Arabidopsis thaliana: one gene and its partner. The protein of the gene in region 2 interacts with the protein of the main gene of each other region in a pairwise test. Each region holds a gene or a part of one and is shown on either strand. Other genes may lie near its edges.

Region 1 (6,270 bases), on a different chromosome or scaffold from region 2:
TGAAAATATGAACGGAGCCAAAAAAAAAAAGAGTATTGGTCCCGACCAGTTTTGTGTATACTATGTGTTTCTTTTATATCAACAAATTTAACTTTCATCCAAGAAAACCCACGCCCATATCGAGTGCCCTGCCCTCGAAGCCATGGCTATTTGGAGACCATAAGAATTCAAAGTTACACTTGTATAACTCTGTTGTATAAGACCAAAACTATCACTTGTTTTTAACCTCAATTTGGATGGATTATCGTCTTGTCATTTTTAGTCATCTTGTATTCTTGTTAAGTGATTTTTCGTTAAGTAATGGTTTCCTTATATTCCATATTTTTTTTTACTGTTTGGTAAGTTTCTGTAATAAAGTTTTACTCCTCATTTACTCTGTTGTATTTTTCTATTCTCATATTCCATAATTCATCTTTTTGGAAATGAATTTTGAATATGTGGTTAGTGACTAGGTCCACCCCAAACGTCCTAGTAACGCCTAAAGAAGTTTTTGAAGAAAGGTAATGTTCTTCAAATCTCTGCTAGAAAAAACTCAATTAACTCAACTGCTTACCAATCCGTTTGCAACAGTAAGTTGTCAACCATATGACGAAACTAAACCTGATCCAAAATCGTTGACTTGAGTAAATGTTTTTACAGTCTCCAGTATGTTTACAGCTGTAAATATAAAATCTTATTGAATCAGTTGAAAACAAAGTTCCAGTGAACGCAGAGAGTTTCTTTCCTCAGTAAGAAAATGAAACTTACTACGACAATGAGAGATCATCAAAATGTTGTAAGAAAAAGAAACTAAAAGTGAAAAAAATGCATATTTGTGATGCTGTGGTATATAAATTATATACATTACACCAAACCAAAACCAGATTCTTCTTTTTGGTTGTTCTGTCACTGCAATTCACCAACAGGTGCTTCGTTTAGCCATAAGAAGTGGATGAAATCGTACAGCTTTGCGCTTACACTAACCTGTAAACCATGAGAGAAAAAAACATTTACACAGATTTCTCAGAAACTGAAAAACATGTTTGTCGGATAAAACCATACCTTATAAGGAGTTGGGTTTAATCTCCTCATATGATCAGGTCGCATGTTTTCGAGCTGTTTGATGCAACGGTCTCTTATCTCTTTCAAAGGCGGTAATACTTCTCTTGCTTCATCTTCATTGGTATAGAGAAACAATAATCAGTGAAAAGCATTGTCATTAATAACTCTACGGTACCGGAAAATCTTTACCTGCACTTCCACGCCAATAACATTTGAGGAGCTCTTCGACACGTTGTGGCACTACATATGCTCTTTTGGATTCGTTGAATGGGTGACGACAAAGTAAACGCTCACCAACCTTTGATATCAAGAAAGATATTATGTAAAAATGCAATAAGGTAATGAGATTAAAATCTTTGAGAGAGTTATCTTTCGTTTTACCTTTGGAGGTGGTTCGTTCTCTCCAGTCATTATATCTACCAGAGGGTAACCTTCTTTGCCGTATAATCTGTAACTTCGCTTTTTACACGGTATTGATACCTAAACGAATCAGAATGATAATCAGATTAAGTGCAATGTGACATTGAATGTTCAGAACACCAAGAGAGAGAGAGAGAGTTTTAACCTTTGTAACATCTTCAGAAAGTTTAATCCGAGGCTGATTGTTTATCTCCACAAGTTTGAAAACGCAACCTAAGGCCGCTTGTGAATAGCAAGTGACCAAGTAGGTCCCGATGCCAAAAGCATCCACCTCATGTCCCTATAGAGATGAAAGAAAAAACACTGCTTAATAATAATCAATCTTTCGGGGGCATGGCATTTGAGAGTGGGTTAGGGAGTCACCTGTTTATTTAAAGCGTCAATCGTCTCTTCATTTAGATCATTACTAGCAGTGACGACCATCTTCCCAAAACCAGGCACTTTTAGTTCTCTCTCTACCGTGCAGAAGAAATTTCTGGCCTCTCTAGATAGATAAGCTAAATCACCTGAATCCAGTCTAATACCTAATGCTTTATATCTGCGCAGCACAATAAACATCAATTGCATCTCAAATTCCATATGATCCTGAAGAAGTACAAAGTCAAGTCAGACGATCGGGTATTGATAAGAGATTCTTACACACCCAAAGTCATTGAGTGCTAAAGCAACTGCACAGAAGTTAGGGATTCCACTCTTCATCACCTGTAAAACAGTCAGCAAAACACTAATATAAGAGTTTATTAGAAATCCTAAGGCTCAAATGAGCTATCTACTATGGTGTTTAATGCTCACATCGTATGTATCTACGAGGGCAAGAAAAGTTTTGGGGAATGCCAGTGCATATGAGGTGAAAGCTGCTAGCTCGCTTTGATTTGTCTCAGAGAAAATGCCACTTAGAGATGGTGAATACTGTCATCCACAAAGAAACAAAACATAAGAAAAACTGTGACAAAGATTCAAGCAAAGGGTTGAAGCAGAAATAGAACAATGGTCCTGAGACTAGAAAACAGGAAGAGGAAGAGCAAAATGTGCAATAAACAAACCTGAATCTTTTTTAACCATGTCTGAACATGACTAACAAAATCCTCGCACGTGGTTTTCCCATCAGCACTACGAAGTACTTTGTCAACAATCTCATCAGTACTCTGCAATCCAAAGTTAACTAATTATATCGAAAATGCTTTTGTGATATTGTTATGAGCGAGGATATTAAGTGTGCATCAGAACCATGGCTAATAAAGTTATAGCAACAAAGGCATTGACAAGAATATCTTATTTTCACGAAACTTTGTGTTATCGTCTCTACTAGCTAACTCAAGTATGTAACCTCCACATAAAAATTGAAACTTTTGGCTGAAGTGAACTGACCATGAATGAGCTAACATAAGCATGAGAGTGTGTTCCACGAAGAGGAATCCCAAAAAGTTTTCCAGCTGCTACATTACTGTCATTGGCAAAATACCCAACAACACAAAACACATCATTTCCACATTCCCTTTCACCTACTTCCAGATCAACAAAAACAAAAAGCAAGACTTGCCTTGTTGCATCAAAACCTCCAAGGTAGCAATATTTTGATGCGCTTATTGCACCATCCGGACCCTAAGATTCCAACACTAATAACATCAGACAGAGATGGAAAGAACAACACAAAAGGCAATATATCAAAAAACAAGAGAGAGATTTATAGGAAACCTGAGCCCTTCGAGCACCAAACTCGAGTAGACTCTTAGATTTTCCGGCAACAAAGCGATGCCTAGCTGCGTTAGTAGCTACCAAAGATGCAAAATTGACAAGATTGAGGAATGGAGTTTCCAACAATTGAACAACCTATGGAGATTTTACAACAACTGATGAATCATTCATTCAAGAAAACTATTCCTTAAACAATCTTCACAAATGAAAGAGACAAAGAGACTCACACCAACAGGTCCTTCAACTCTCATGAGAGGTACTTTAGGAAAAACAACTGATCCTTCCGGAATTGCATAAACTTCAACATCAGAACAATCAAGCCCTCTAAGATAATCACAAAAAGCTTCCTAATTTGAATCACAAACATAAAACCCTGATTTAAAAATCCAAACTTTAATCAATAACAATCTAAAAACAAACAGATTTTTGATATACCTCAGATCCAGGCAAACACTCTTGAACGAAATCGATTTCTTCATCAGTCAATTTGAAATTGGCTAAGAACTTAACACACTCTTCTAATCCAGCAAACACAGTGTACTCACCACCAAATGGGTTCTTACGAAAATACAGATCGAAACTGAAAAGGAAACAAAAACAATTTCAAATATACAAAACCATTCAGAATTCAACATCAAAAGCAGAGCATGAGAAGAGATTGTGTGTTGTACACGGATCGTTCGTTGTGTTTGCCAGCTTTCCAATAAGCATAAGCCATGGTGAATTGATAAAGATCATTGAGTAAAGGTGTGACCATTGGATTCGTTGGTCCGTCAATGATCTTCTGACCCAATTCTGAGCCGTTCTCTTTCGGCTCCATTGTCGTCGCTTCCAATTTGTGTGGAACAATTGGCTTCGTATGAGTGAGTGTGTGTGTGATTACGAGAGAGTGAATGGACGAGGAACACTGGTTCTTGGTTGTTTATATTGGAGTGGTCAAAGGAAAAAGAAAAAAACAAGTGTGTTTAAAGAAAGAGACGACGACCACCACACAAAGCAAAACTTGCTTTGAACTTGACCTAGTCTTTCTTTAAGAGCCTTTATTGGTTTCTAATTATTTCTCATTTTAGAGTTTAGACTAAAACGAGGTTTAATTTTCGTGGTTGTTGGCTCTTAGATTATTGGAATTTTCACGTTTAAAAGAATTTTATGTGTTGAAAATTGGCATATGGTAGCCAAATTCAACTAATTATAATAATTACTCAGAAAAATTTACATATTGGTATTGGTAACAAATAACAATATCTTGTATCTCTAATAAATTAATGAAAAGAGTTTAGCTGTTTTAATCTAAAAAACTTAAATTACAGAGGCGGGGAATTTTTTCATTTCAAATACATTTTTTTGGTGTGATTTATTTCACATACATAATTCGGAAAACTTGTATAGCGTAAATCTATTGATTAATAATGGTACACACTTGCTGTGTTATGATATATTTGTGTATTTAATGATTTTAGTTTATTGACTATTTTTAATGTGCAATATTAATGATTTTTAGCTCTTTTGCAATCAAATATGCAGTATGATATTTGATTAGTAGTAAATATTTACATTTCACATATATGTTATAGTATTTGATGAATATTGTACTTATAATATATAATATTTGTTAACATTAAAATAGAAAAGGTTAATGTAGATTAATACATCTTAAAACTTCAGTTTCTTAAAATATATAAATATTGTAAAAATGTTCAGATGCTTATTATGGAAAAACAAAACAAAACAGAATTGCATAACACCAAAAATTTTAAACATGATTATGAAAAAATCAATCCAAATTTAGGTACATTTATTTATCAAAGTTTAATTTTACATCAAACAATAGTATCTAAAATGAATTAAAATGAACTCAAACTTAAGACTAAACATAAGATTGTCCCAACTTGGTTTTTGAAGCCATATCGCATATGGCCTAACCATATTCATGGTCTCTTTTATTTGTCAGTGTCATGATATGAGTATCACAATTTGATAGGGTTCTCTTGAAGTTGTTGATTAAAAATAATCAAAACAAATAATTCTGGAGAGAGCCTCCTACGTGGCAGTCAGTGGTTGGTTGATATATTTAACCAACAAAAAATCCTTGTGTCTTTATTTTTCATTCCGTCGGGAAATTTTCTCACTCTCTCTATTGGTCGTCTCTCTCGACGCTGCTCACCATTCCGAGTTCGTTTCACCAAATCGATGACCCAATTCTATATGTGTTTGTCCCAAATCCAATCTCCCACCAAACCCTTGCTTCGTTCCCTCGAATCAGAGCATTGTCAGATAGGAAGATGACTAAGCTTTGATTGATTTAGTTGTGTAGATGATTTGGTTCTTTAGAAAACGAAGAAGTTATCTGATTGATCTGTTTCGTTTTATTGTTTGTTGCATGGGGATCAGTGTTGTTGATTTGGATCCCATAAGAACCAGCTTTTGCTTGGGTACAGTCATTCTAGTAATCTAGTCTGTTCTCTTGGGTTATTAATATTTTCTTCAGTTTGCATTATTAGCGAGAGGAAGTCTACATATGTGTTTGATTGATTCGTAATGCTGGTTATCGTTAACACCTTTATATGGTTTTAAAATCAGGTGATCGTGTGCCCACTAAGTTGAAGAAAGCCATCATGCAAGCCCGAGAAGACAAGAAGCTGACTCAGTCCCAACTTGCTCAAGTATTTTCTCTTTTCTCTGTATCTATCTCTTTCTTTTGTTGCTTTTTCTTAGTAATTGGCTTCATGATGGTTATGTTGTATGTTTTGAGTCATTGGCTTCATAGATGTACAAGACTAGGAGTTTGTTTTGTTGGCGTTATGTATTTTGGTGATAGACTCTGTAACTATGGAACACATATAGCTCATGATTTGGTGATAGTAATTCGCTTCATAGTTAAATGTATCTCTAATTTGATGATAGTAATTGGCTTCTAATTTGAGTGAGTCATGCAGATTCAAGCCAAACAAAAAAAAAAAAATTATAAGAATTTTAATTTGTTGATGAGTAGAGGAACAAAAACCTTTTAATTTTTGAATAACACTAGATTTGATATGGTTTTTAAGAAAAACAAAAATCTTCTAAAATCCCTAATCCAATACATCCCCCTAAATGTTTTGGTTTACTAATTTT
Region 2 (5,380 bases):
AACAAACATTGAGATTGTTAAATCAAGAAGAACTAGTAGATGAGTGAATCAGAAAGAAGCTGATTTGAAAAGTCATTCAGACTGAGTATCCGGAAGATTCTGGCATAGCAAAAGATAAAGCTGCACCAAGAAACATTCCAAGGATAATACAGACTGCTCTTAAGTACCTGCTATATGTCATCATCTTCATCATCTACTATTCCCAGAATCAAAACAAACATATGATTAACTCTTATCCTATTACTCTAAATCATAGATCCAAAATATGAAATGTTCATGGAAGCGAATAAGGGACCAAAAAAAAAAGAGATTCTATAAGCTTCAACATCTATCTACTCATGATACTTCCGGAGATAATTCCGGATTAAAAAATTAAGAAGTTCATTATGGAAATCGGAGACGACGACGACGGCGGTGGAGAGAGAAGAAGCAAAGAGAAGAAATTTAAGAATTCTGAATGCGACGACACCTTTTTATAAACAGTGGAGCAAAATTATAAAAACCTACTTATTCTTTACCAAACTAAACCGAAACATTTTTTATCTCCGGTACGTGTGTATTCGAATTGACGTTGATTTACCCAAAATTATCTGTATACATACATTTTCTAAGATGTTATGTTTGTGGTAGATTTATCCAAATATATTCGAACAAAATAATAAAACTATAGAAAAAAACTCTCGATTTTCGTTGGGACAAGCTTTTGCATAACGATAAACACCTTCGAATTTGCTTTAACCCGATGGATAAATAAACCATACAGAATTCTTCTTGGTTTGCAACAACATTTTACTGGTACACTAGAATAAAACCGGAACATCTAAATTTTGAGTTACTTAAACCAAACCGACAACGAGAAGAACAAAAACCCAAAACCCAAACCCAGCTCCGATTCTCTTCGACCCGGAGAACCACACTCTAACGTCATCGATCACAGGTCCACACAAGGAGCTCATATCATCAGTCCTCGTATTGTAATAAACACTGTAGAACGCAACTCTGGTTCGATCAGCCTTAGCCGTGAAATTCAAACCGGCCTTTTCGAAACTGGAGTTCGCTTGCGCCATGTAATGAAAGTTCTGCGCCTGATCACCTGCGAATGCCATAATAGCCAATGGTTCCTTGCATTTATCACCTGCGTGGCCTAGTGAGAAAGACAATATGTACGGCTTATCTGCTTTGGTCTCAACCATTTGTGAAATAATTCCTTCTTTGCCTGAGAGTAGCTCGACGGCTCGTTTGCCCTTTGGAACAGAGAAGTGATCCGAGTCAACAAACCGAACCGCTCTGTTCGATTCAACAGTCCAACCAGGAAGAGACGAGATTTCTTCGTCGAGGTTTGTCGGAAGTAAAACACCAAGAGACGTGTTCCTAAACATCCATGGACCATCTTCGAAATCTCCATTAATCACCGCATTATCTACAAAATGTAACCAAAAAAATCAGGGTGAAATAGGCACATTTTAGAACTTTGGAGTCGAAAATAGAAATATAGAGAAATTTATGGTTACCTTTGGGTTTATCAGGAGTAAAGAGCTTCTTAATAGCAATGTCATCGATGATTGGTCCACAAGTCGGATCATCTTCCATACCCGGATTCTTAAAAACCAACCGTACATGATCATCTTCCGCTTCAAACGCCCACGCATAAGGGTCCCACCCTTGAACGCTATAAAGCGTTTGCAAATCAACGTTCCGCGACGCCAGCATATCGTCCGCGTCTGCGTTCACAGACGCTACCGACACGTTTATCGATTCGAGTTGAGCGCACGTGCGAGCAGCGCTGAACGTGACTGAATAGACAAAACCTTTCTCAACCGTTAGATCTTGGCTGATCTCTGCGTCGTTCCCTAATCGGACGGCGTGACGGCCTTGTGGGACAATGAGGATCATTCCGCCTTGTTTTTGACCGGAATTTATTAGCTCCACCGTACCGTTGGATTTCCAGCTTGGGATATCGGATGGTCCGTCAGTTACTCCGTCGTCAGGAAAGCCACTTGACGGTGATGTTTCGAAGTCGCCGTTGATCACTAAACCTGTCATAACAAAAAATAAAGGTTACAGACAATTTTAAAATAATAATGTACATTGGATTATTTGGTTAGACAAAATCATTGGAAACGCCAAATGATCACGTTTCAAGATTGTTTTGAAACTAGCTAGCGGTGTGAAAAGAGATTGTTTTTGTCTTTCTCAAATAAATAGTTTGATTCGACATAACACTTTAATTTACTAGATTGTAAAAACGTGAACGAAAAAAAATAATAAGGAGACACGAGGCTTGAAACGTCTAATATGGGGCCAGACATACGGCCCATACCTTCTAGCTATGACTTAGTAGGACCACAATTGTGAAGACTCGTTTTGACTATTTACTAATTTTTATGTTTACACTCTACAGTTCCCAATTTACAAGTTAAAAATGCCCCTTCTAATAGGGGAAAGCAAGAGACAATTGTTGTGTTTTCGGTGGAAAAACAAAAGAAAGCGTGTTGAAAAACTAGAGAAGTATTCAGACACTTGGATGTCGTTTTATCAAGTATTCTTTGTCGTTTTGTAATACTACGACCAAAAGACCACCTACTATTTGGCGCGAATCCTACTCAAGTGGTTTTTTTTTTTGGTAAATTTTTTAATCAAATAATTTCTTAGAAAGTAAAGTACCTAAACAACTTTCTTTATGAAATCAGATCTTTAAATTAATATCCACATAAAAAAAAAAAAAAAGAGTTCTCAGGGTTTTGTTGGTGTGTGTTTGTTATTTGTTAATTGAAGCTAAGGAAGATTTAAGAAGGGCTTCCTTTTTAATTTTGCCGCCGCTGAAAGCACGAATAAGATACTTTATACTTAATTGACAAATAGACCCATACAACTTTCATTTTCTTTTCTATTGTGACGGATTAAATTCAGTTGACAGTTTTTCCCCTGACTATGAGATAACCTTAACTAGATTAGCATTACTGGTTCGATTAACACTGTTTACTTACTTAAACTAGACATTAACATAACAGATTTCTAATCTTTAGTAAAGAAGAAAACTCAACTTAAAAATCTTAGCAACAGTGAAGTGAAATTGAGGAAAACCCCCAAAAATCTAAACACTCAAAATCCAGATAAAAACTAAATCAATCATCTGAAACTAAATTATTTTGGTCCTCTGTTCTTGAAACAGAGATGGGTTGGATTCAAGAAACCAAATCTTGATAACACAAGATTCTTATTTAAATGGCATTTTTGAGAAAAACCAATCACGCAGAGACCAGAAAAGAACAAAGAAATTTGATGAAGGTAAGTGAAAAGCGTACCATCCTCAACCGCCGGAGACTTGTCGTCAGCGACGGCGACTAAGACGGCAACGGAGACACTGAGCAGAAACAAGAAAATGGAACTCCATTTGCATCTATTGTTGCTCGGAACCATATCTCTCCTCTACTTCTTCTTCGTCTTCCTCAAGATATCTAAATGCTCTCTTTATCTCTCTTCTCTCTCTCTGTAAGTGTGAAATGTGAAAGTGTCTTTCTGTATGTTCTTTTCGGGCAGCGAGCAAAGACAGGGAAGGTTAGTGTCCTTTTATCCAAGATTCCTCACTCCTTGTCTTTTTTTTTCTTCTTTTTTTTTAACTCTCAACATTTAATTTCCACTATATTTAAAGCTCTTTACAGACAAAACTCCATGCACGCATAACAAAAAAAAAGTAAAAGAAATGTTTCTACTGTAACATAGTATTTAATTGTTCTAATTAGTAGAGCCACGATGGAATAAGTTTTAGTATTGACCTAGGTTCTCTCTTTTTTTTTCCCTCTCATTGGATCTGTGCTAGATGCGAGACTAAAGTGGCAACTTTACTTTTGATCCAACTCTATTTCTTTTAGGCTGTGGAGTGAATTATTAGTTTGACAACAACAAAAATGTCTTTGTAAAATCTTCGGCTTTTCACTATTATAGATTTGAAAAAATGTTGTTTAATACGTGAACTTTCAAAATTGGCCATTTAATACGTGAACTTTATATATGGCAAATTAATACATACAAAAATCGTTGACTGACAATTTTACATAAACTTAATCGTTGATCAAGCCAAAATCTACACGACGTTATCTGACATTAACAGACCGATAACAGTCGTTAACTAATCTTCGTTAGTTTCTAATACGACGTTGTTTCGAGTATCGCGAAAACGGAAAATGCCATTTAATACTCCAATTTTCAAATTGTGGTCATTTTATATATCAACTTCACATGTGGCCATTTTATATATGAACTAAACGTTGACCAATAGTTTAAAATATGAGAATGCGTTGATTAGACCAAAAAGACATACCGCTATCTAGACCTAGATATTCAGATTTTTGTTTGGATTCGGTTTGGATTTATTCAAATACCTAGGCCTAGATAGCGGTATGTCTCTTTGGCCTGGTTAACACATTCTCATTTTTTAAACTGTTGGTCAACGTTTAGTTCATGTATAAAATGGCCATATGTGAAGTTGATGTATAAAATGACCATAATTTGAAAGTTGGAGTATTAAATGGCATTTTTCCCGTTTTTGCGATAATCGAAATGACGTCGTATTGGAAACTAACAGAGATTAGTTAACGGCTGTTATCGGTCTGTTAATGTCAGATAACGTCGTGTAGATTTTGGCCTGATCAACGATTAAGTTTGTGTAAAATGGCCAGTCAACGATTTTTGTATGTATTAATTTACCATATATAAAGTTCACGTATTAAATGACCATTTTTTTAAAGTTCACGTATTAAACGACATTTTTCCCGTTATAGATTGAGGTATAAAGGGACGAAAAGTAAAAATTTGTGTTTATGAGAGTTATGTTCAGTGTTGATATGATCAGTGAACTAGAAGATATTACGTCACCAAGTGATAAATAGTGTTTTTCTTTTGTATGTAACTAAAACTAGGCTTGATAATAGAAGAAAAGCATATTGGGCCGTTAAAAAGTCCAAGTTAATACGGTTTTGGGCCTTACTAAAACACGGGGGCTTTAACGGAGTTTTGTTACTGCTCCTTGGTGGATCTGCGAGTTTTCAATAAACCACCGGAGTGAGGAAGAAGCAGACGACGACGACGAAGATGAGTTCATCGACTGTTCGTGATTTGCAGAGAGACCTAGAAAACAAGGCTAATGATCTCGGCAAAATCCAGAAAGGCAAGTTTCGTAGATTCTCGTAACTTTTCTCGATTTGATTCTTTTCTTGTTTCTGGAGGCGGGAAACCCTACTTTTCTGTGTTCATATTTTCAGATATCGGGAAGAATCATCAGCTGAGAAAGAAGTATACGATCCAACTCGGTGAGAATGAGCTCGTGCTTAAGGTATATGTTCATGTCTCACTGTTTAATCTGAGTTTTGTGGCTACTTCA

Evidence for each region.
Region 1: the proteins of AT1G29980 (region 2) and NAPRT2 interact in a two-hybrid assay, tested with the Arabidopsis thaliana proteins (one large-scale study listed by BioGRID).

Annotation. Positions count from the first base shown.
Region 1 is NC_003071.7:9,969,525-9,975,794, reverse strand, and holds NAPRT2 (nicotinate phosphoribosyltransferase 2), read right to left. Parts: upstream 4,193-6,270; 5' UTR 3,977-4,192; coding exon 3,828-3,976; intron 3,737-3,827; coding exon 3,592-3,736; intron 3,504-3,591; coding exon 3,384-3,503; intron 3,292-3,383; coding exon 3,157-3,291; intron 3,064-3,156; coding exon 3,002-3,063; intron 2,906-3,001; coding exon 2,830-2,905; intron 2,607-2,829; coding exon 2,505-2,606; intron 2,371-2,504; coding exon 2,254-2,370; intron 2,164-2,253; coding exon 2,105-2,163; intron 2,000-2,104; coding exon 1,825-1,999; intron 1,742-1,824; coding exon 1,607-1,741; intron 1,522-1,606; coding exon 1,423-1,521; intron 1,340-1,422; coding exon 1,231-1,339; intron 1,155-1,230; coding exon 1,042-1,154; coding exon of another isoform or gene 1,003-1,041; exon of another isoform or gene 964-1,002; coding exon 886-963; 3' UTR 588-885; downstream 1-587. UniProt on the Arabidopsis thaliana protein: Catalyzes the first step in the biosynthesis of NAD from nicotinic acid, the ATP-dependent synthesis of beta-nicotinate D-ribonucleotide from nicotinate and 5-phospho-D-ribose 1-phosphate.
Region 2 is NC_003070.9:10,502,575-10,507,954, forward strand, and holds AT1G29980 (choice-of-anchor C domain protein, putative (Protein of unknown function, DUF642)), read right to left. Parts: upstream 3,616-5,380; 5' UTR 3,421-3,615; coding exon 3,306-3,420; intron 2,593-3,305; exon of another isoform or gene 2,044-2,592; coding exon of another isoform or gene 2,037-2,043; coding exon 1,512-2,036; intron 1,421-1,511; coding exon 837-1,420; 3' UTR 665-836; downstream 1-664. Other genes in the region: PFD6 (prefoldin 6), read left to right, coding at 5,092-5,167, 5,262-5,332.